Linked DNA regions of Diceros bicornis minor. The protein of the gene in region 2 binds, or shares a complex with, the protein of the main gene of each other region. Links are inferred from orthologs where the notes say so. Each region holds a gene or a part of one and is shown on either strand. Other genes may lie near its edges.

Region 1 (7,660 bases), on a different chromosome or scaffold from region 2:
AATGGATTCTTTAGGGTTTTCTATATATAAAATCATGTCATCTGCAAATAGTGAGCATTTCACTTCTTCGTTACCTATTTGGCTTCCTTTTATTCCTTTTTCTTGCCTAATTGCTCTGGCCAAAACTTTACTGGTGACATTTTTTGTTGTTGTTGTTTTCTGAAAATATCTTATTTTGTGTTATCTTTGAAATATATTTTTTATGGGTATAGGATTCCAGATTGGTAGTTACTTTTTCCAGCACATTGAAGATTTAATTCCACAGTCTTCTGGCTTCCACTGTAGGTGTTGAAAATATCAGCTGCCTAAGTGTCATTTCTTTGAAGATAATCTGTTTCCCCACTCCCAGCTATTTTTAATCATTTTTCTTTGTTTTTTATTTCTTGAAGTCTTATTACTAATAATCTAGGTGTGGATTTCTTTTTATTTATTTTGTTTGGAGTTCATAACGATTCTCAAATTGGTAGGTTGTTTTCTGTCATCACTTCAGGAAAATTGTCAAATACTTCCTCCGCTAGATTCTTTCTCTTCTCCCCTTCTGGGACTTTGATCAAACATATGGCAAACCTCACTGTATCCTCCATGTCTCTTAGCCTTCTACATCTTCATTCTGGATATTTTCTTCTGACCTGTCTTCCATTTCACAAACTCTCTTTAGCTGTAACTCTGCTTACAGATCCATCTGTTTAATTCTTAGTTTCAGTTGTTTTTCAGTGCTAGAATTTCTAGTTGCTTCTTTTTCATATACACTCTGTCAGTTTTTATAGTTTCCAGTTCTCTGCCCAAATTTCCAATCTTGTTTTTTATATCCTTGATCATAGTAAGCATAGTGATATTAAAATCTATGTCCAATAATTCCATCTGGAGCTCCCATGTGACTATTTCTGTGGCTTGTCATTTCTCTTGGCTCTTATTCCTAACATCTTGTCTCCTCACGTGCCTGATATCTGTGATTGTGTGCCAGACATTACATTTGAAAAATTGTCTGTGGAAATAATTTGAGATCTTCGGTGATGTTATCTTGTTCCAATAGGAATTCATTTGTTTCTATCAAGCACCGAGGGCACCAGCAATCAGGATTTCTTAATTTACTGTTAGGTATTAAGATTTCCTGGGCCACACAGATGACTTGAAGCTGGGTTGCAATCCCAGCATGGGCTGGTTTACCTCTGGTGTAGCTTTTTCAGAATCCCAACCCAAAGCAGGCTCTGGGCTCCAACTTCTGTCCTCTAGTCTGTGACACTATCACTCAGCTTCTCAGTCTCTTTTTCATGAACAGTCAAAGCTCCCAGAGCAAGAGGTCCCAAATGCAGGACTTAATTCACTGGATTTTGTTTTTATTCTCAAATTTCACCTGGTAATTCTTCATTACCTTCTTATTGCCTCAATATTTTTAAATATTTTGTTCACCTTCTTTAGTTTTTCTCAGCAGGTGGCTAGTCCAAATTACCTGCTCCACTGTTATTAGAAGTGGAAGTCTCTGCTATGCAAATTTAAGAGATTATTGTTAAACTCTCCTGACTACTTGTTTTGGGTTCCTTTGATGGAAAAAATGTGCACTAAACTCCCATTTATCTGGAATGATTAGAGACTATAGAAGAAATAAATTATGTTAAGCCAAAATTGCTTTGATTCGGCTTTGATTAAAACTAAAATCATAGGTCACAAGTTTTTTAGAGATAATTTTACAAAGCTATTGATGCAAATGCTTTTGAGAATGTAAAACACTGGGTTAAGCATTAGCCTTTATTTAGACAGTTGAAGAGAACTTTAAGCATATAAATATATATTCTGAATCTTGTCATAAATCTGAGTTTGTTTTTATCTGTTTACTGAAAAGGTACAAGGAGCTTTCTTTTCCTATAATATCAAAAGATTTGTTTGAATAGTTTCCTTGAGGTTATGAATGTTAGATATAGAAAGCCAAATTTTTTAGAATGTTTGTTGTAGAACCCTGTTCATTATATTTGTAAACAGTGTTTGTCATAGGAGATTGATTGTATTCACTGGCTTTGTGATAATTAACTTGTTGATTTTACCTCACTGATTTGTTGTAATTGATACAACTGGTATAAAAAGACTGTGAGGATTCCCTTAAAATTAGGAACATAATTAAAGCAATACCTTCTGGTAAAAATTTATTTTGTTTTACATATAAATTAAAGTGGCTCCAACAAATTCACTTAGAAATGCAATGCAGAGTGTCACTTTGCCACAACTGGGTATTCAGGCTAATGGGACATTCTTGTTTATTTTTATATTCTTGGTTTATTTTAACTTTGTTCAAATGTGGATCATCAAATTCCAAAAGATTAAATGATAATACTCTTAAAGTTTCCCTAAGCGCAGGAACACTTTAATGGGTGATGATTCAGAAGGCATCTGCACTGCTGGATATCACCCATCCCCTTATACTTGTCCAATAAATAGACAGCCCATGCTGGAACACTGGACGAATGGATCTCAGCTGGAACTGGAGGAAAAGATTGGAGGAAGTGGTATAAGCAAATGGCTCGGGAGTCTGACAGTGATTGAAATCTTGTCTCTACCCCTTACTAGCCTTGTAATCCTGGGTAAATTACTCTGATTCTCAGGGTCATCATCTGTAAATTGTGAGTAATGATGGTAGCCATCTCACAGGATCTTTTTGGGGCAAGAAGGTAAAGAACTGAGACTGTGATTATAAAGCACTTAGTACATTGAGAGCACATAATAAGTACTTAATAAATAATGACGGCTATTATTACCTGACTGGGATGTATTCAGCTGCCTGGGGGAATAAGGACAGCTCCAGAATTTCTGTTAGGAGGGGCTCAAGAGCAGTAATCACATTGGAAGGCAGGGCAGGACACTGCTTTTACATTGATTCTATGCTTAGTTGGAGAGAACGAGGAAGGATTTGAGATTTAGAGAGACTAGAGCACTTCCCCCATACTCCTCGGCATTGCTCCTATTCTGGCGATATTTAGGGGATTTCTTGCACTCCCCCCTCCCGTCCCAAGCAACTAACCAGCCAACAAATACAAGAGGCTGCTGCCAGGGCACTGGACTCCCGCAGGGAAGGAGAGAGAAGGACGCTGTGCTTTCCCGCTAAGAGCGTCGACTCCCTATTCCTACACCTCTGCTAGATACTACTTCTCCCCCTTCACTGATCCAGCGGAGAAAGCCCACTTAGATTGCACCCCAGCCCGGCTCCTCCTTGACTGCAGCCAATTCCCTTTCCTGGGAGAAGGGGGCATGATCCGTAGTTTTGTTGGCCACAGATAGGAGAGAGTGGTCCCCCGAGGGCATGCTGGTTTCCAGGACACCTCTGATCCCCCCAGGGACACCGCCCAGACTCCCCTGCAGCCTCCGCTGAGGCGGGGAGGACACACTGTCAGCACCAGCTCAGTTGGAGGATACACTCTGGCATCCAGAGCCTTGACCAGTCTCTCTTCCTCTTGCCCCTACACACTCTCCTTACTCCAGGACACGCTTCACCTGGGGCTCTGGAGGCCCACTCTCTCGATTGGAAATCCAGGCTTCAACTCTAGTTAGCTTGTGAGCTTGGGCAAGCTATTTTTCTGTGCCTAGTTTTCCCCACACCAAGACCGACTCCAAGGACTATTATTAATCTGGAGGGTTTAGCACAGATCCCGTGCATAGTAAACTCTCAAATAGCCCGAACCAGAAGAGACAAACCTATTAACTTGATCTAATTATATGTGAAAAGACCAGAGGTTCTAGTTAGTCTCAACACTGACACACTGAATAACCGTGGACAAGTTGCCCCCATCCGTCACATGATGGACTTCATTGATTTAAAAAACCCAGTGAACATTTATTGAGTGCTACTGTCTTCCAGACTCCTTCCCCGCAGGAGCTCACGGCTGCTGAGCGCACTCAGGGGTGGTGAGGGGCACTGAGCGCAGGCAGGCTTGTTTCACTCTGCTTTAGGGGCAGATGGAGAGCCAGAGACTCACTGGAAAATAGCATTTGAACAAGGCTTGAAGGATGCTTCACTTGAGTTTGCCTGGTAAATATTGGCGAGGCTGTTATGTTGCTGTCCCTTTCAAATTTGAGCATTCGCAGGGATTTGGTTCTGTAAGTCAGTCCACTTCTCCTTGCTGAGGTCACTGTGACCGACGGAGCCAGTGGAGCCGCATAAAGCAGGTTATGCCTCGTATTCCCCATTCGGGAACCCTGATCGCCTCGAACGCGCGCGACCAGGGGTCTGCTTCCCGGGGAGAGCAGGGACCGGCGGCGCTGGGAGAAGCTGCTCTTACAGGAGGGGCTCAGCCGGAGCGTGGCAGTGTTGGCCCTGCCCTTTAGTAGGGCATGCTCTGAAGGGTGCCCACCGCCAGGCTCCCCGAGCCTGAGGCGCCGCGCCACCCCAGCTCCAGGGGAGCGCTCCCGCTCCGGGACGGTTAGTTTTGCAGGGACCGGGTCTGCGCCACTCCACCGGGGGTCGCGCCAGTCACCAGGAAGCTGCCGTGGTGCTAGCGCGGAGTTCGGTAACCCGGCGCGCAGGCCCGCGTGCGCACGGTCACGTGGGCGGCGCGTGCCCCCGCACCCACGGGAGGAGGCGGGGAGGGGGCGGGGCCGGCGGCGCGGCCTCCCGTGAAGCCTCGCGCGGGGAAGGACCGGAACTCCGGGCGGGCGGCTTGTTGATAATATGGCGGCAGGAGCTGCCTGGGCATCTCGAGGAGGTGGTGGGGCCCAAACCCGGAAGAAGGGTCTCTTTTCCTGCTAGCGCGGCGGCCGCTGCGGACCCGGAAGTCCGGGCCGGTTACTGAATGAGGGGAGCCGGGCCCTCCCCGCGACAGTCCCCCCGCGCCCTCCGCCCCGACCCGGGCCCCGCCATGTCCTTCTTCCGGCGGAAAGGTAGCGGAAGGGGCGCCGGCGGGGAGCTAGGTTGGGCCTCAGGGGCGGCGGTGGGGCAGATGGGCCTTCTAGGGCTTGCTCCGGGGCGGCGGCGAGGCCCTCGGCCTCCGCGCAGACGCCCCCTGCGTGCCTCGCTCTGCGCCGGGACTCTGCAGGGAGGGCGACGGTGGCCCCCGCGCGAGGTCAGAGGGGAGTTGCCTCGCTGGTCCAGAAGTGTCTGCCGAAACCCGTCAAGTTAATGCCTGTTTGCGTGAAAACAGCTTTTCGGAGTTTGTGTGTGTGTACTGTGGATCGAGAACAAGGAAATTCCTTTAGTACCTTGTTACGGAAGTCTTTGACTTTTCAGAATATTGAGGGTTTTATGTCTAAAAGCAACACGTGAAAAAATTTTCTTTAACTAGTGCTATATTCCAGTTTCCCCTTTTTTGGGGGGTGGAGGGCAGGGTTCGGCTCTTCCTAAAATAACATTACTTAACTTATTGCGGAAAGTTCCCTAATGAAGAAGAATAGTACTTTTGATGACTTGGCAAGTTTACTAACTACTGGAACTCTATAAACAAATTACTTATATGTCTGATTTTCAGTTGTAATAGCTGCCCAGTTCTTTAGTAGAGGCAGCTTAATTTTGATCCTGCATAAGGTTGCATTTCATTGAAAATATATATCCAAAGTGAACAGGTGTGGGTCTTTTTGGATGAAAGTGGTTCTTTCAGTTCTTGTTGCTTCAGAGAAAATGTTACAGACAAAAACGGGTTTTGGAAAAAGCACTAAACTAAATCAGGGACTTGGGTTCACATGACAGCTCTGCTACTAACTCTGTAACCGGGGGCAGAAAAGTGTTAACCTACTTTTCTCTTCTCCCTCAACTGAGAATTAGATGATTTCTCAAGACCCTATTCAACTCTGACTGTGAGTTAAAGAATTCCTTTTAAGTACATACAGAGTTTTAGTAACTGATGTCAGGTGATGAGTGAATGAAAACAGTGCTGAATGAATGAAACCGGTAAAATGGTATGAAGAGGCTTTATTGGTAAAGTAACTTGGTAGAGTTAGTAGCTCACTAATTTGTTTGACAGCGTTGAAGTGTTAGTTGTTTTTTAGGTTTTTTTTTAAAGGGAAAAAAAGCATTCTATGTATAATGAGACAAATTGCGTGTTGCATAGTACACTGTTGTCTCTGTTCCACAAATAACTTTTGAATGTCTTCTGTTTGCCAGCCACTGTGCTAGGCCCTCAGTATTGAGCACTGAACAGGGCAAAGTCTCTGCACCCAGGGAGCTTATTGTCTGCAGGGGGAGACAGACAATGAATCAGTCTCTCTTTCTCTCTCTGTGTATGTGTCTCTGTTTGCAAATTGAGTAGCGTTATGAAAGTGATAACTTTTTTTTTAGAGAAGCAGCGTATTTCAGTTGGATGTTAGAGAAAGGTCTCAGCAGGTGACCTTGAAACTTAGAGCTGAAGGATCAGTAGGAGGTAACATTCAGAGGCCAGGGAAGAGCATTCTAGGCACAGGGAATAGCATGCTCCAAGGTCGTGAGGCAAGAAAGAGTTTGGTGCCCTTCAAGAAAGGAAAGAAGGCTGCTGTGACTCGGGCTCAGAGAGGTAGACAAGGATCAGGTGATTCAGAGCTTTATAGGCCATGGTTAGGTTTTATTCCAAGTGCAGAGACAATATTATTTAAACATTTTTAAAGAGGAGTGATTTGATCTTATTTTATGTTTTAAAAAGATCATTCTAGATGCTTTTTGGAGACTGGATGTGGCAATAATAGAAGCTGAAGATGGTCTTATTTAGGGATCCCATCGAGTCTTTAAATACCATTTTTAAATACCACCTATATGCTGATGACTACCAAATTTACATCTCCAGCTTGGATTCTCTCCCCTGAATCCAGACGGGTATATCCAACTGTTGGTCCACTTTATACTTCTACCTAATAGATATCTAATAGATAGTTATATCTGTTAATAGATATAGTAGACTATCTAATAGATGAATCTTTAACTTACTAGTATATCTAAAATTTAACTCTAGATTTAGTTCTCCTAAGCCTGTTCATCACTTTTTCTCATCTCAATAAATCGCATTTCTGGCCTTTTAATTACTCAGGCTAAAACTTGAGTACATTCTTGAACTTCTCTTTCTCTCCTCTGTATCTGATCCGTCAGCAAGTCTATTAGGTATACCCTAGAACATATCCAAATCCAACCACTTCTCACCATCCCTAACCATTAACACCCTGGTCTAGGCAGTCATCTCTATTTAGATTGAGTGGTTAAGGAAGTCCTCTGAGAGGATGTCATTCGAATCTCAGCTTAAATGTCAAGAGGAAGCCGGTTTTGTGAAAATCGAGGAAGCAGCATTATTTTGCTATAGCCTTCAATTTCGTTTCCCTTCTTCCATCCTTGACCCCATGGTATGTTTTCAAAACATATGCCACACCTCTATTCAGAGTCCTCAAGTGGCTTCCTGTAGTGGCCCTCCATAATCTCCTGCTCCCCTTCATCACTCTTCCATTTATATTGGCCTCCTTGTTGTCAAGTACATTCCCACCTTAGGGACTTTGCACATGTCCTCTCTGCCTAGAACCCTCTTCTCACAGATACCCACCTATTTTGCTCCCTCATGTCCTTCAAGTTTTTGATCAATTGGCATCTTAGTGAAGCTTTCTCTGACCATCCTATTTAAGATTGCAGTCCCTGGCCCCTGCACTCACCCCTGCCCCCCTTGCCTTACTTTCTCTACAGCATATATCACCATCTGCTTTACTTTGTATTTTATAATGCTGGAAGCTGATT
Region 2 (7,609 bases):
ATATAAGTGGAATCCCAGAAGGAAAACAGATGAACCATAGCTACACACAGCAACATGGATGTATCTCACAAATATCATATTGAATGAAATAAACCAGACCCAAAAGGAATGTGCCAGAACAATTTATTGAAAAAGAACAGCCTTTCCCTCTGTTCTTTGTCATGAATCAGCTGTTTTTATTTGTATTGGTCTGTTTGGGGCTCTCTAGTCTATTCTATTGGTCCATTTGTCTATCTTGTGTCCATGCCATGTTGTAGTAATTACTATCACTCTACTGTCTTATTACCCACTACAGCTTCCTTATTCCAATTTTTCAGAACTAGCTTGTCAAGTTCCACCAAACAAACAAGCAAATAAACAAACAAACCCTGTGGGAAGTTTGATTGGAAATGCATTAATCTGTAGATCAGTTTAGAGAGAATTAACATCTTTACAGTGTTGAAGATTCAACCCATGAATATGGTATAATCTTCATTTACTTAAGTTTTCTTTAGTTGCTCTCAGTGATGTTTTATAGTTTTCTAAGAATATGCCAAAATATTGATGCCCTCGATCTTTAGGGAGTCTGGGCAGAGCTTGGGGCAGCTGGCCCTAGGCAGGTCACCCTAGCCTTGTAATGCCTCATCTATTTACCCCGGTGAACTATACAACTCTTATCAATTTGTTTTGTGACGTGGAGGGGAAAGTATTGGGAAGCACTGGGAAGTCTTTCTAGTTTTCTGTTTCTGACCAGTTTTACAAAGCGCTGAGTTGTGAGTGGGCAAGCATGCCATCCACAATGCCCCAAACATCCTGAACTCCTGAGTCGCCCACTGTATACTTCTAGCCCGTTTATTTCCATGACTCTGTTGTACAATGTGTGCCCATGAATTATGAGGGCATAACTTGCAAAAACAATAATAACAATGTTATATACTGAGCATTTACCAGGTTCTGGGTGATTTACAAATGTTTTCTTACTTAAGTCTCCAAGAAATCCTATGAGCTTGTTATATTACCTGTGTTTTACAGATGAAAAAACTGGAGCTTTGAAAGGCAAAGTAGCTGCTAAGTGACAGAACTATTTCTGGAAACACGGCAGACTAGATAATCTGAAAACCCTCCCTCTACATAGTTCATAGAAATACTAGGTAAAATATATCAAACATTTTTTTCAAATAGATAGTTGAACTTGAAAGAAAGGAAAGAAATCTCTCAGGTCCAGAAGTGAAGAGAAAGCTGAAAACCGGTAACCAAGCAGGGTCACTTTGGCACAGGAGGTAAGACCCAGGAACTGATACCCTGCATAGAGCTGAGACTCTCTGAAGGCTACATTCTTAGTGAAAGGTGGGCTAAAAACCAGTCCTGCTGGCAAAAGGAGATTCATTTATTCACTCATCCATTCAGTAACATTTTTTGAAAGCTTGCTATAAGCTAGGCTTATATTCCAGGCACTTGGGACACAGCAAGAAAATAAATAGGCATGCCTGTTCCTGGGGAAATTATATTCTGAGAGACAGAGATAATAGAGAGACATAACATAATCCATAAACGTAATATATAAGTAAGATGAAGGGGGATATATTTATGAAAAAACAGAACAGGGAAAAACTGATCATGGGTAACAGGGAAACTATCTATCTTGGCCTGGACTCTGGGAAGAAAAAAACAGATCTCTCCTGGAAATTCCCAACCATAGCTCTGCTTTTAGGGGGAGGGGGGCTGAGGTTGTAACTGACATTAATTGTTTGCAAGATCTGGAAACACCAAGGCAAGCAACTAACACAAATTGGCTCCAAGTTTTTAGTGCCTCTCCTTGTCATTCTAGGGATATGGAGAAGGGCTGTTGGACAAAAACAAGAGAAAATCCTCCACCCAGGCTGCCAAGGGTTCCCATAGACAAAGCCCAGACAAACTTGAGCTCACAATAAAAAAATACAAAACTTATTGATGGCAGATTTAGGATTCAGTAGCTGTTTGATACCAAAGCCCATGCTCATAACTCTTACCTACATGCACCCAGGACTTATACTACACACTCTCATGGGGAAGGTTGTCTTAGGACCCATGGTATTTAGGATCACAGAATCTTAGAATTGGAAGGGATCCAAGAAATTGCCTACTCCAATCTCCCTCACAAAGCAGGACATCTTTCTGTAACATGACACAGAACACCACCAGCCTCTGCTTGAATACCTCTAGGGAAGGAGAGCACATTTTTTCCCTGGCTGGTGGGAAGCCTATCCTAGAGGCAAAACAACACTACCTAAGGAGACAGACAGGGTCCTTAATCCTTCTGAGCCAGGTGATCTTGGGCAGGATAATTACCCCCATGAATTAAGCTTTCTTATCTGTAAAATGGGAATATCATCTCATCGGGTCATGCTGAGGGTTAAATAGAATAATAGATATAAAGGCTTACCAGGCACACAATAAATAATGTCATTTTACCTTCTCACTAGTGTCTAGATCTAAGTAATCAACAAAAAGAGTTACTCTGCTTAGCATTAATCTGAGCAGATCTACTTATAGCCATGAGATTTTTTTAAATCCAAATTTTAGTGAGGGCTCATCTCATTCAGTTCAACATTCTGAAGCGTGGTACCTGAGGGTTACTATCAATATTCAATAAGGGCAGGATTACCTTTCGACCTAGTTCCCAGCACAGACATAGATGAAAAGAAGTTAGTCTTGTCAAGTTGCTGTTTTCTTGCTCAACCTGAGGGGTGACTCAAGGGTCACAAGGATTTATGAGCTTGTTTTACAGAAGAAATAGAATGCCTTCAAGGAAGTTACAGTCACCAGAAAAACAGCCCCCAGCTGCCACTGATGCCCAGAAGTCAGATTGCCCAATGGCTTATCTGGAGTGAAAGAAACCTGGGGTTACCCCTTTGTTTCTCCAAAACTCCTCCTGCCAAGCCCCTTAGCTCTATAAAACCCCCTGCTTTCTTGTCTTGTGAAGGTGAATTTGAGAGAACCTATCCTCTCGCCTTCTCATTTTGGCCAATTCGAATAAACCTTTCTCTATCTCCAAGCACCAGGTGTCTCCGTGATTGGCTTACTATATATCAGGCACATGGATTTGAGATTAAGAGGTTTGGTATCAATTTCACTGGGAAAGGGTTTTGTCATTTTTTAAAAAAAACAATTGCTCATTTCTATTTAATTTTGAATGAACACTGTCTCTGCATGTTAGGGCCTCTTCTATTTCCAGTCTGAAGGCTTGTGGCTGTTTGTTCCATCTGTGCTGGGATAAAGGGTGAGTCTGAGAAGCTTCTTGAATGAAGATTGACTTTGTTGTCATCCAAATTTTTTTATTTTAGAAGTTTCAAGAATAAATTTACTGACAGGCTCCTTAATTTAAAAATTAAGGTATTATTTACATGGAATATAATCCACATATTTTAGGTGATAGCTTGATGAAATTTGGTAATTGTAGTCAATTGCATAGCCATTCCCACACTTAAGATATAGAACAATTCCATCACCTTAAAGTTTCCCCTTTAGACCCCTGATTTGAAGACGGACATTGACCAATTGGCTGGCGTCCAGGGTGAGAAGTTTTGAAGTCATGGCATAGGCAGACCATGTTAAGGAATGAGGGGCATTCATGGAATCCCAGAGAAAAGAAGACTTATGGGGGATATAACAGCCTTCAAATATTTGAAGGGCTGCTCTGTAGAACAGCTCCAGAGGGAACCATTAGGACTTACAGGCAGAGGTGAGAGATATTTTGACTCAATATAAAAAAATTTCTAAAAAACAACTATTTATAGGTGATGAAGGCAAGTGAGACTCAGAGTTAAAAATAAATTACTCTAGATGCAACACCTGGAAGTGGCAGAGTCAGGCATTCTGATCTTGAATCCAGGTTTTCCCATTCTACACTTCTGCTTCAGAAGACATACAGGAGGCCCAAGGGACATAGTGTTAAGGTGGAGATGACCTGATCTGGGTTAGCGGCTCAGATGTTGGTCCCTTTTGACAATTTACCCTCTGGCTCGGGCCATGCCTTTGCTGGGGAGAGCCAAGGCCCAGCGAAGACGAGTGGCCCTTCCAGCGTGGGTGGAGGAAGGTGAGGCCACCCTGTCCTCAGCCTGTGGTCTCTTTGCCTCACTGCCTGGAGCAATCTCTTGCCCTGATTTCCAGTGTGGGCTGAGGATCCAGGTCAGTGAAAAGCCCAAGGCTAGGTCTGCCTGTGTGGGTGCTGCTGATAGGGATCAGCTGCTGCTCCTGTCTGGGATGAGGGGTGGAGCAGGGCACTGCTGAGGCAGCCAGCCGAGGAGCTTGTGGAAATGCATTCCACCTTCCCCGCTGGGCTTGCCTGAGAGGCTCTGAGTGTGTGGAAGGGGAAGACAATTGTCAGTAGGTTGGAGAATAGAAACAGAGCACCCTCAGTGAGATAGAGAGGAAAAAAGAGAGAGACAGAGAAGAGAGAGTGTGTAAGAAGAGGAAGGGAGCCTGGGAAATCATAGCAGGGGCTTTATGCTGAACTCCTAGGAAGCATGCGAGGAAGAATTCCCCGGTGGAGGAAAGGAAGGATGGGCACACGAGGAGCTTTGCTTCATTTACTGGGGCTTATTGGCCTGCTGACCTTCTACAGGGTGGGGGTTGCACAGGTTACTGCTCCCCAGGATGGCCTCAGTACATGAAGATACTTGGGTGATGACCCTCAGCCCTGACCTTGGGATGGGGACAGTGGAGGCTCTTAACGCATTGGGTGTTGGTTGGGTGTGACCAAGGTATTAGCCAAAGTGAAAGAACTGAGGAAGGCAAAGACATCTCCTCCCTGGCTGTCCTTCCCTCTTCTCTCCCCTCCTCTTCTCTGGGAGGAGCAGGCAAGCAGCGACATCCCACACAGTTAAGCAGGTGGGTCAGAGCATTGGGTTTGCTGAGCGTTTTTCAGGTTTGCCCAGCTCAGGGCCCACCCAGCTGGCAGAAAGCAGGACAGAGGTCACTTGAACTCAGACCACAAGTCCCTGTTAAATACATCAGCTTTTAAATCAATCTTTGTTCAAAGTCCACGGAGTTCCAAGACTAGAGCTCACCAGCAGAGAGAAAATTCCCGAGTGACCGGAGCAGCTCCTCTTCCCCCTAGATCCAGGTAAGGAGAGTCTCTGCATCCCCCTGACTGAGGGTGCTGGCCACCTGGGCCTGAACCACCTTCTTTCTTTTCCTTTTTCCTTTTCCAAGCAGTAGCTGGCTGTCCAGGGCCAAAGAGAGGCACATGGGGAAGGAGCCGGGCCTATTGGTGGTGGTGGTGGGGTGAGGGATTGTCTGTACTCTGAGATCCTTTCTGCTTGTGATGCCCCGACCCCTACAGGTTAGGGTCTGCTTTACAAAGGCAATGGTAAACTGAGCCTCGGAAAAAGCTTTCCCAGGGTTGCATGGGGGCTTGATGTGTAGCCAAGGAGAGTGAGATAACAGACTTCACAGGTCACCAGGAAGATACTCACAGGAACTTCCCACTAGGTCAGGGGTCTGGGTATTAGAGATTTTCTTTTGGAAGCAGCCCTTAAGGGATAAAATCTAATTTAACTTTCCCACTGGATAATAAAAGCAGGCATCTCTCCTCTTTTCATCATGTTATAGCACTAAGAAGTGAGGAAAAACCAGTGGATTTCTAGGCTGGCTGAATTTTAAAACATAGATCTCCAGGCTCTACACTTTGGAGTTTCTAATTCTTTGGGTCTTGTGTTGTTCTGAAAATCTTTGTTTTTTTAACATTCCCCCAGATGATTCTGGCAGGCAGGTTTGGGAAGCACTAGTAGCTTACTTCCTATACAGAAGAGTCCAGGGACTTAAATGTGACTTTCATGCTCAGCTCAGGAGACACCAGCTCAGGGCTGGGCTGGCTCCTCAAGAACAGTCCTCTTTAGCTGTCCCTGCAGTGTTGCACCGATGAGCTTGCAGTCTGTATTCAGACGTCATGGGGGCTGATTGTCTCAGGACATGGCTGTCTAGTTCCCTGGTCACATGTTCTTTTCTACAGCAAATAACTCAGGGACTTTGAGTTTGTGTGTTATGACTAAGTAAATTTTTCTTATCTTTGACTCTTTTGTATGTTATTTGAACCATTACCCATGAAGTTGCTAGTAATGATGTCTTATGTTCATGGACCACTGGCTAGACAGCTCCTTCCCATCCAGGGGAGAGGACACAGGACTAGAGTACAAAGAACCTGCATTTTGCTTTAGTTGTTAGTGACAGACCATTAGACAAGTCACTTAGCCAACTGGAGCCTCAATTTCATCATCTATCAAATGAAGGCCTCTCGTCTTTTCCCCAAGGCTGTACTGAAAATAAAATTACAAATATGGTGTGTTTGAGGGGATTAAAAGCACAAACATAAGGTGCTTACACTCAAATGTGTATATCCAAAGGCTTCATGGAAAAGTGGGAAGAAACAGCCTTGCAGTCAGTGGGGAGACCTTGTCCCAGTCTTTTCACCTCATCAAGCTTTTCTTTATTCACTGGTAAATAAAGAGTTGAGACTAGCTGATCACTAATGTCCTTTTCAGCCCACCAAGTATAAGGTGGATCCTGGAGTTTTCAAGGCTGCCTCCTCCTTGTCATTTGGGTATGAATTCAGATGTTACCTCCCCAAGAAGGGCTTCCTAAATCAGCCTCCCCCAACTCCACCACTATATTTCATCATTCATAGCCTTTATCATCAGAAATCATCTTGTTTGCTTTTTATTTGCCCCCTTTGCCAGATGTTTAGCTTTAAGAGAGCAGGGTTATTGTCCTTTGTGGTACCTGCTATAATCCCAGCTCTGAGGACAACACCTGACATAGAGTAGGTGCTTAGATATTTGGATAAATGGAAGTTAGTGTGGCAGGGCAGGAGCTGCAAGAATAGAATCGGGAGGTTTTGAGAAGCTGCTTTTAGGGAGAAGAGGCTGCAGAACTCTGATACTCTCTCAGGTCATCTGAGGTCTGGGTCTGATCATGTGGGAATGGGCATCTCTGGTCATGTCTTGGTTAAATGATTTTCATATCTGTTGCAAAGGAATTTGATGAGAGTAGCAAGTTAGAGCTAGACATGTTTTCTTCCAGATCTCAGTAACTCCTTTCCTTGGCTCTTCATGAGGGACTGCCCAGATTTCCTTAATCTCTTTGCCTGGTGTGTATCATGGCGAAGTGATTGAGGGCATGGGTATTGAAATTGGAAACCTGCCTTCTAGAGCAGGCATATTCTTAATCTCTAAGTCTCTATTTCCTCATTGGTCAAATGAGCATAATAGAACCTCGTTCCTAATGTTATGAGGATTAGATGCGAGACTGCACATAGTGCCTAGCACACCTTAAATATTACTGTTCTGGTGATCATCAGACAGCTTTGTGAGGGGCATAGCCCCAGGGAAGGAAAGAACCCAGGCAGTGACAAGGAGTTTTGATAAGTAGGAAAGATAGCCCCTAGCCTACTCAATGGCAGCTACCGAGGCTTTGCTCTTGGTCTGAGACAGCCTCCAGCTTCTGAGGCTGCAAGCCTCACATGACATGAAGCTCTTCTGCAATCCAAAGGATTGAGCTTAAGGTGCTTCACAGTCTAACCTGACCTTCTTCCTTGAACATACACCTACTCTCTGGGCTTTCTGAACCATTCACCATTCCTGAACACACCTGT
Region 3 (7,644 bases), on a different chromosome or scaffold from region 2:
CTTAGATTCTTGTTTGTCATGGATGACATAAGAATGTTCCTCCTTGGAAGCAAGAGGCTAGAAGTGATAACCTCTGCACAATTAATCTGCGAAGCTTCCCATCTTCCTTACTTGAATTTTCCCAACCATGAGTCAGCAATGGCTGCTCCCAGGATGGGAGTGAAATAACAGAGGCTGCTGAAGGCGTGGTATACAGATGTGGAGGTGTCTTCATTCCAGTGCAGGAAATACAGGAAATACAGGGTCAATACAGCTGAGGCGAAAAAAGGGAGACAAAAAAAAAAAAAAAAAAGGCATTAAAGTGACTTATGGAGAAGTACATTTGATCTCTGGTCTTTGAAGGTGATCTTGACCTTCAATACTCCCATCGGTGAAGTGACTGAGGGTTGGCTGCCAGGCAGTAGAAGCAGGGCCCATGGGAGTTGTGGGAGTGAATGGGGCTATGCTTAATGTACAAATGCAATACTCCTCCTTTTAGTCTATTTGTACCCATAGCATCATTTAGCCCATTCATGAAGATAACATGGTGCTTCCAATATCCCTTTCTTCTCCTTCCCAGCAACAATATAGTTGATAGATCTCAGGAACAGATATGAAGAGCGGAACTCAGATGATGAGAGTTTTCCCACTTATATTCTCACAGACTGTGTTCTGGTTTCTGGTAGGCCTTTCTGTTCTTGGCCTGTATGAGTTACTAGGTGAAATCCCATGAGGCATTCATTGGCAGTCTTGGCCAAAGGAAAGGATCAATTTGGATGAGGGCAGAAAGAGTGGATAAGGGAAATAAGTGTAAACAGGTTGTTACAAACATGAGGTGAGGGTGAGCAGAGAAAAGTAGGACCCTGGGACACAAAATTACCTTTCATGCCATAATAGGAAAAGCGCTCACAGAATTCATTCACCACAATGAAGGCAATGCTCAGTGGATAGTTGGAGCCACAGATTTTCTGTGAAACAAAAAGGTTTAAGAGTGAGCTGTTTTTCCCTATTTAAACCAGTAGATTGCTCCACAACAGAAAAAATCATTTATTTTAAATCACCATGATAGGTAACGTGAAGCAATGGACCCTACTCTTCATGAAACAGCTATTATCACACTAAAAGTGCTTTCATTGCTGATTTAGGAGTAATAGAAGCTATTTTGAATATAACTTTGTTCCTCATTTATTTAACATGGAACTGCTCAGACATTCCTTGATTGGAGATACCAGGACCTGCTCATCTTCCCACAACTACTAATGAAAAGCCTGGGGCTCTCGGCAAGAGAATAATCATACTTATTTCTAGGAACAGAAAAAAGAGTTGGCCTCTGGAGAACTTGATGTCCAAGCAGTTACATTCAGATGCCGGTATCCTGCTTAGCTTCACTGTGCGGACTAACCTCTCTTGTCCCCATCTGCCCTGTTCACCATGCTGGGAAGAATCCTGGCAATACGATGGCTTCCCATTCAGAGGATGCTGGAGCGGGCAGAGAGCCCACTATAGGTTCCGAAAGGGAAGCTAATTGATCACCTTGACCTTGGGCAGAGAGTTCTTAAATCTTGTAAAATTAAATGTCCACTCTTCCTATGAAAGAGATTCTATAACATTTTCATGCTAATTATATTGGACATTAAAAGGACTATGCTATTTCACACACTATATCAGTCAGAATATAAGGAATATCATGTTTTATTTCAAATTTCTACCCATTACGATAGCCCAACTAACATGAGAGAAGGATGGAGATATCTGTCTTTGGGACAGTCAAATCTTATCATGAGATTTTTATTGCCTCTTATTCAAAAGAAGTATATACACCTTTGTAAGCAGCCTTAAATTCTTTGAGACCAGAAGAGATATAAATAAATGAATAGATAAATAAAGAGAAGCAATAAATTAATGTATTCATTCTTTTCCCCATACGGATATATATATAAAACCTTCTTAAATATTAATATATATTAATGTATGATAAAAACTTGCTTGAAAGACACAATGAACTGAGCTTTCTACCTTCCCAGCTCACAGCTTGAGAACCATGCAACCTGGAGTTTAGTTAGCACACTTTCATTAGTTATGTAACACTATCACTGGCTGTGTTAACATACTGACCCTGGCCATGTCACTACACCTGTCTTTAAGTTTCAGTTCTGTTATTCCAAAGAAACTGCTATCTATAGAATACTACCACCTCTTTGCCCATAGTAAGAACTTGGTAAATACTGGCTATTGTTACTATATCCTCTCCACTTACAGGATTTTGACACAAGGATTAAATGAGACAATGAATTTGGAAGTGCTTTAACAAGTATATAATGTAAAACATTATTATTTCTTCTTTGCTTCTCTGTCCTGTCTCCCGCTGTAAATTGGGACACATAGTAACAGAAACTGGATCTATGCTAAAACTTCTCTTGGTATCCAGCATATACTCTGTGCACAGGGGGAACTAAGGGCTGAGTTTTTATATTGGTAAAGAAAGCACAATCACACACAGTTCTCCAGACAGGAGCGCTTGCCAAGTTTCCCTGGACATTCAAATTGCTTTTTTTTTCACCCCAGAGAAACTCAGAATATACAATGAAATACAGCAAAGTCCTGGATCCGAACTGAAGAACTCTGACTACCTCTTCCTGCTGCTTCCTCTCCTAAGTAAAGGAAACTTCTATTCAGATTTTGTTTTCAGGTTAATCCTAACTCCAAGTAAGAATAGTTTTTAACACCCTTATACAGCTCAGCCTGAAGCTCCAGAGGCCAAGGAGGAGAACCAGAAGAGCAATTCTGTTCCTGTCAGAGGCAGAACTGAATCTGAGGACTCACCGGAGGTGGCTTCTTTGGAAGGCTAGGGGGTCGAGGTGGTACCTCTTCAGTGGAGACAGGTGAAAAAAGAGTTTCTTTGGACTCATTTTTCTGGAAAGGATTCATGGCTGGCTCCTTACTCTCTCTCTCCTCAAGCATTTGGCTTCGGTAGGCAGTTGGGACAGCTGCCAGCCTACTGTGAAAAGGGGGACAGGGAGGGGAAGAGGGGGTGGCTTCAGCAATTAGGTTTAACCCTGTGGGTGTCGGGCTTCAGCAGCTGCGCAGCCCAGAGCAAAGCAGAAAGCTATAGGAAAAGAAAGGGTTCCGTCTCAGAGACTAGTTCAAAAGAATGATTATGTAAAAGGTAGAGCATGGGGAAGTGAGAACAACACATCACAAGGTGGGACCAGTAAATGCTGGAGGATTGCAAGTGAGCACAACATATTTAAGAATACAATGCCTGGAGCATAGATTAAAAAATTGATTTCAGGGTAACAATAGCAGCCAATTATTGAACACCTATTATGGGCAAGTTAATATTTATGTATTACATATATATTATATCTATATAGATATAATGTGTGTGTGTATATATATGTATATATATATGTTCTAATTCTTACTACTATCCCCATTTTACGGGAACTAATGTCCCAAGAGCTTAAGTAAATTGTCGAAAGTCACATGGCTGGTAAATAGCAGATCCAGAATTGCTATGCCATGACAGATGAGCGAGATTAGCATCAGTAATGCCTACGGTCATTATTCAGGTATGGAGGCTATGCAAAGAGAAATGTAGGAATGTAGGGGAATTGAAATGCATTGAAGAGGGAAAGTCATCATAAAATTTAATTTAGTCAGATAGAAAAGATGTTGATTTTGGTTTTCAACATAATAAAGTCCAACTAGAAATATCCTATAAGCAATTAAAGAGGTGGGGCTAAAGAAAATGAGAGAAAGGGCTGGTGATGTACATTTGGGAATCATTCTTCTCCTTTGCTAAATTCATTCCCTGTGTTTTCACTTTCTCACTTCAAGATGAATCTATCATTTCATTAATAAATAAAATTTAATTTGAACAAAAATTATGAATCAGTTATTTTCCAGGTACTATTACAAACAGCAATTTCCTTAATTTTCAGTGGGTGGACTCCCAAATGACTCCAGAAATATACTTAGTCCTTATCAGAGGAGGAACAAGAACAGGCAGGATGATGATAGGTGCATCTCATACAGTATTATTTTTGCTAAGTCAAAGAGGTGAGAGAAGAACAAAAGAGTATGGTGCCCTTTCAGCTGTCAGTCAAAAGAAAAAGGAAAAGAATGGCCAGAGAGCTGTAAGAAAAATGAGGACTAAAACAACAAGGAAGTCAGAAAACAGGAGAATGAATTATTTTATTTGAGAATATGAGAGAGACATTATGACTCATCCCTCACAAACTTCTTACACTACCTATTTCAGTAATTTATTGACAAATAAGGCCAGGATAAACTCTACCCTTTCCTCCTTAAACTCTAACGCAGACTTTGACCATGTCTTCCCAGCTTCTATTACACCCTCATCCCCCCTCTCTCCCATCAATCTTTACCCAAAGAAGAGTCCAGCTTCATTTCTGACTGTGGCATTAATGATTAAGCTGTAGTTATTCTTTCAGGAAGTAATGCCCTTTCTGATCTAGTTTGGTTAGTGACTTTGGATGCAAAACAAATGAACAGTTAGAAGTTACTAGTCAAGATAACCACTAGAGGCACAGACGGCTTGAAGATCTAATTGTCAGTGGCTATCCTTGCTCTGGCCTTATACCTCTAGGATAGCATTTGATCTGGCAGAGCAGATGGAATGGCACCTGCGTGCAATGCACCAATTCATTTGTGTTCATAGGTACCCAAAATACCAAACTTTAGAGTATTGGCATTGGTTCTCTGATACTCCTTTGTTTAGATGAAACTCTTCTTTTGATTACGGCAATACAATGCTAGCATTCATAGAATCAAATATCAGAGATGGAAGAAATCTTAACCTTGTCCTGTGTAAACTAAGCTTCCTTGATGATAAGAGTCATTTAGGATGATATATATTCTAGAGGGATCTATTCTAGAGCCCTTTCTATCATATCAAGATGCTTCTTGGCAACCAATTTTGCCAAGTTGAAATCAGATAGAAGGATGAAAGGGAAAAGATCAAAAAGCAACTCCTAGACAGAAATGAGCAAACCTTTTTCAGAGACAAAATAGATAACGAAAATGGAAGAATCTAAAATATCAGTGTAAGAGTAAAAAATATTTGTGGCCTCAGTGATTATGACAGCAGAAATTGATATTTTACAGTCATGTACAGAAAGGAGACTGAAGCTATAAAATGACAGATACTAATATAGTCAGAAGAGGTAAATATGAAATTAAAAGAGAACACGTGTTTAGCAAGGTGTATGAATGTAAAATCAGCACACAAAAATAAATTGTATTTAAATATCAGCAAAAACAAATAGAACAGGGAATTTTTAAAAAGATACCAGCTATAATAGCATAAAAAATACCTAGGAATAAATCTAACGAAAGATGTTTAAGACCTCAACACTCAACACCATAAAACGTTATTGAAAGAAATTAAAGGATATCTAAATAAATGGAGAGGGATACCATGCTCGTGATTTGGAAAGCTCATATTGTAAAGATGTCAACATTCCCCAAATCAACCTATAGTTTCAACACAAAATCCCAACTGGTTTGTTAGTATAGAAAATGACAAGTTGATTTTCAAGTCATATGGAGATGGAAAACACCAAGACTAACAAAGGCAATCTTGAAGAAAAACAGTGGAAGACTTGCATTACCCAACATAAGACCTATTACAAAGCTACAGTAATTATAACAGAGTGGAATCGACATAAAGATAAATAAGGCAACCAATGGAACAGAACACAGTGCAGGAAAAGATCCACACAAATACTGAGGCATCTTTTGTGACAAAGGTGACACTGCAGTGCAGTGGGGGAAATGATGGTATTTTCAATAAATAAACACCATCCAGATATCCATATGGAAAAAAACTTATTTTAACCCTCATCTTACACCATACATAACCAATTCTATATACCTTGCAGATTTGTTAAAGTTAAAAAAAATAAAGCTTTTAGAGGGAAACATAAGAACATCTTGATGGCTGTGAAATAAGCCACAACTTCTTAAACAAGACATAAAATATGGTAACCATAAAAGAAAAACAATTGATATGTGGGACAATAATAATATTAATAATTTTTGTTCACCAAAAGACACCATTAAGAGTGAAAAGACAACTCACAGAGTGGGAGAAAATATTCATATTATAGATGCCTCTCAAAGGATTTGTGTCCAGACTTTGTCAGTAACTCCAAAAATCAGTAACAAAAGGATGCGTATTCAGGTTGTTTTGAGTTTTTTGCTGTTATAAATAATACTGCAATAATAATCTTCCATACAAGTCACAGGTACCTGTAGGATAAATTTCCAGAAGTGAGACTGCTAAGACAAAAGTATATGTTCTTATAATTCTTGGAACTGCCTATTCATTTCCTTTGCCCATTTTTTTGTTGAGTTGTTTGTCCCCTTCTCATAAGTTTGTAAGAGCTCTTCTATATTATTGATATTAATGCTCTGCAAGCTTCTATGTGGCAAATATTTTTTCTGTTGATTTTGTTTGTGGACTTTTAACATTAAATAAAACTTAAAATGCACAATCTTAAGTGTAAAACTCCATTATTTTTTACATATGTGTAACTCACACAACCATCACCCAAATAAGATAAAAAATATATATATATATTTCTTGCACCCCAGTGCTGGAAGTCCCTCAGAGAGTAATACTCACTGCTTCCCTTCTGTCTCCCAGTCAAACCCTCCTCCCCCAAGATAGTCACTATTCTAACTTATATCACCATAGATTTGTTTCACCTGTTTTGAATTTCACATAAGTGGAATAATACTATTTGTATTCTCTGTGTTTGATTTCTGTTACTCAACACTACATCTGTGAGATTCATCTGTGTTATTGCCTGTAACAAGATTTTTTTTTTCCCATTGTTGGTAGAATGCACTGTACAATTATGCCACAATTTATTTCCCCATTCTTTTGTTGATGGACATTTGGGTTGTTTCCAGTTTTAGGGTTGGCTATTGTCAACTTACTTTAAGCTAGGAACTATGCTTCCCAGAATCATCTTCTCTGTACGGTTCTAGGCCAGAAAAACTTGAGTGAGATTGGAGAGGTGGAAGTGAAGTAGCAGGTATTACTCCAAGTTGTCAAAGACTGGACAGAGGTTATGGTCAAATACCTTGAGCCAATGAGGCTTTGTCCTTTGCTGATGGACCTGTATGTGAAGGGGAGTGTATTCCAAGTTCAGGCTGTTTTCAAGTCTTCCCAGATTTTACTTCTTATCAGGCCTTTTTCAGTATCCTGTGCACATGCATGTGGCCTCAGGGTTGATCAGGAGTGTGTCAATAACTTGAGGCATCGCTGGTCTCTGCTGCACATGTACATAGCCTCAGCCTGAAATATCACTGCCCCAACTAGTATTGCACCCTCAGGCTAGTAGGGCTAAGCTCTTGGCCCACCCCCACTGCCCAGCATTTTTCATTCTTAAGTTCCTTTTTTTTTTTTTTTGGTGAGGAAGACTGGCCCTGAGCTAACATCTATGCCAATCTTCTTCTAGCTTGCATGTGGGATGCTACCACAGCATGGCTTGATGAGCAGTGTGTAGGTCTGCGCCTGGGATCTGAACCCGCAAACCCCAGGGTGCCAAAGCAGAGCAGGTGAATTTAACCACACCACCACCGGGCTGGCCCTTTGAATTCTTAATTTTGATTCATTTCTTAGTAAATTGG

The links.
Region 1: the proteins of PDZK1 (region 2) and AKAP10 are in contact, whole or in part, in a crystal structure (PDB 3TMH), measured with the Homo sapiens proteins. The link is inferred for Diceros bicornis minor from reciprocal best matches to the Homo sapiens genes PDZK1 and AKAP10. Residues at the interface, in NP_001188254.1 of Homo sapiens: Asn386, Gly387, Tyr388, Gly389, Phe390, His391, Leu392, Asn393, Ala394, Ile395, Arg396, Phe402, Lys404, Tyr436, Glu437, Val440, Ile443, Gln444; in NP_009133.2 of Homo sapiens: Pro655, Leu656, Glu657, Lys658, Ser659, Thr660, Lys661, Leu662.
Region 3: the proteins of PDZK1 (region 2) and SLC15A2 are in contact, whole or in part, in a crystal structure (PDB 6EZI), measured with the Homo sapiens proteins. The link is inferred for Diceros bicornis minor from reciprocal best matches to the Homo sapiens genes PDZK1 and SLC15A2. Residues at the interface, in NP_001188254.1 of Homo sapiens: Asn386, Gly387, Tyr388, Gly389, Phe390, His391, Leu392, Asn393, Ala394, Ile395, Arg396, Gln407, Tyr436, Glu437, Val440, Ile443, Gln444; in NP_066568.3 of Homo sapiens: Glu723, Thr724, Lys725, Lys726, Thr727, Lys728, Leu729.

Annotation. Positions count from the first base shown.
Region 1 is NC_080757.1:3,134,213-3,141,872, forward strand, and holds the start of AKAP10 (A-kinase anchor protein 10, mitochondrial), read left to right. Parts: upstream 1-4,631; 5' UTR 4,632-4,775; coding exon 4,776-4,863; intron 4,864-7,660. UniProt on the Homo sapiens protein: Differentially targeted protein that binds to type I and II regulatory subunits of protein kinase A and anchors them to the mitochondria or the plasma membrane.
Region 2 is NC_080743.1:53,251,849-53,259,457, reverse strand, and holds the start of PDZK1 (Na(+)/H(+) exchange regulatory cofactor NHE-RF3), read left to right. Parts: upstream 1-4,534; 5' UTR 4,535-5,083; intron 5,084-7,609. UniProt on the Homo sapiens protein: A scaffold protein that connects plasma membrane proteins and regulatory components, regulating their surface expression in epithelial cells apical domains.
Region 3 is NC_080754.1:22,848,199-22,855,842, reverse strand, and holds the start of SLC15A2 (solute carrier family 15 member 2), read right to left. Parts: upstream 3,103-7,644; 5' UTR 2,941-3,102; coding exon 2,803-2,940; intron 948-2,802; coding exon 860-947; intron 254-859; coding exon 112-253; intron 1-111. UniProt on the Homo sapiens protein: Proton-coupled amino-acid transporter that transports oligopeptides of 2 to 4 amino acids with a preference for dipeptides. Transports neutral and anionic dipeptides with a proton to peptide stoichiometry of 2:1 or 3:1.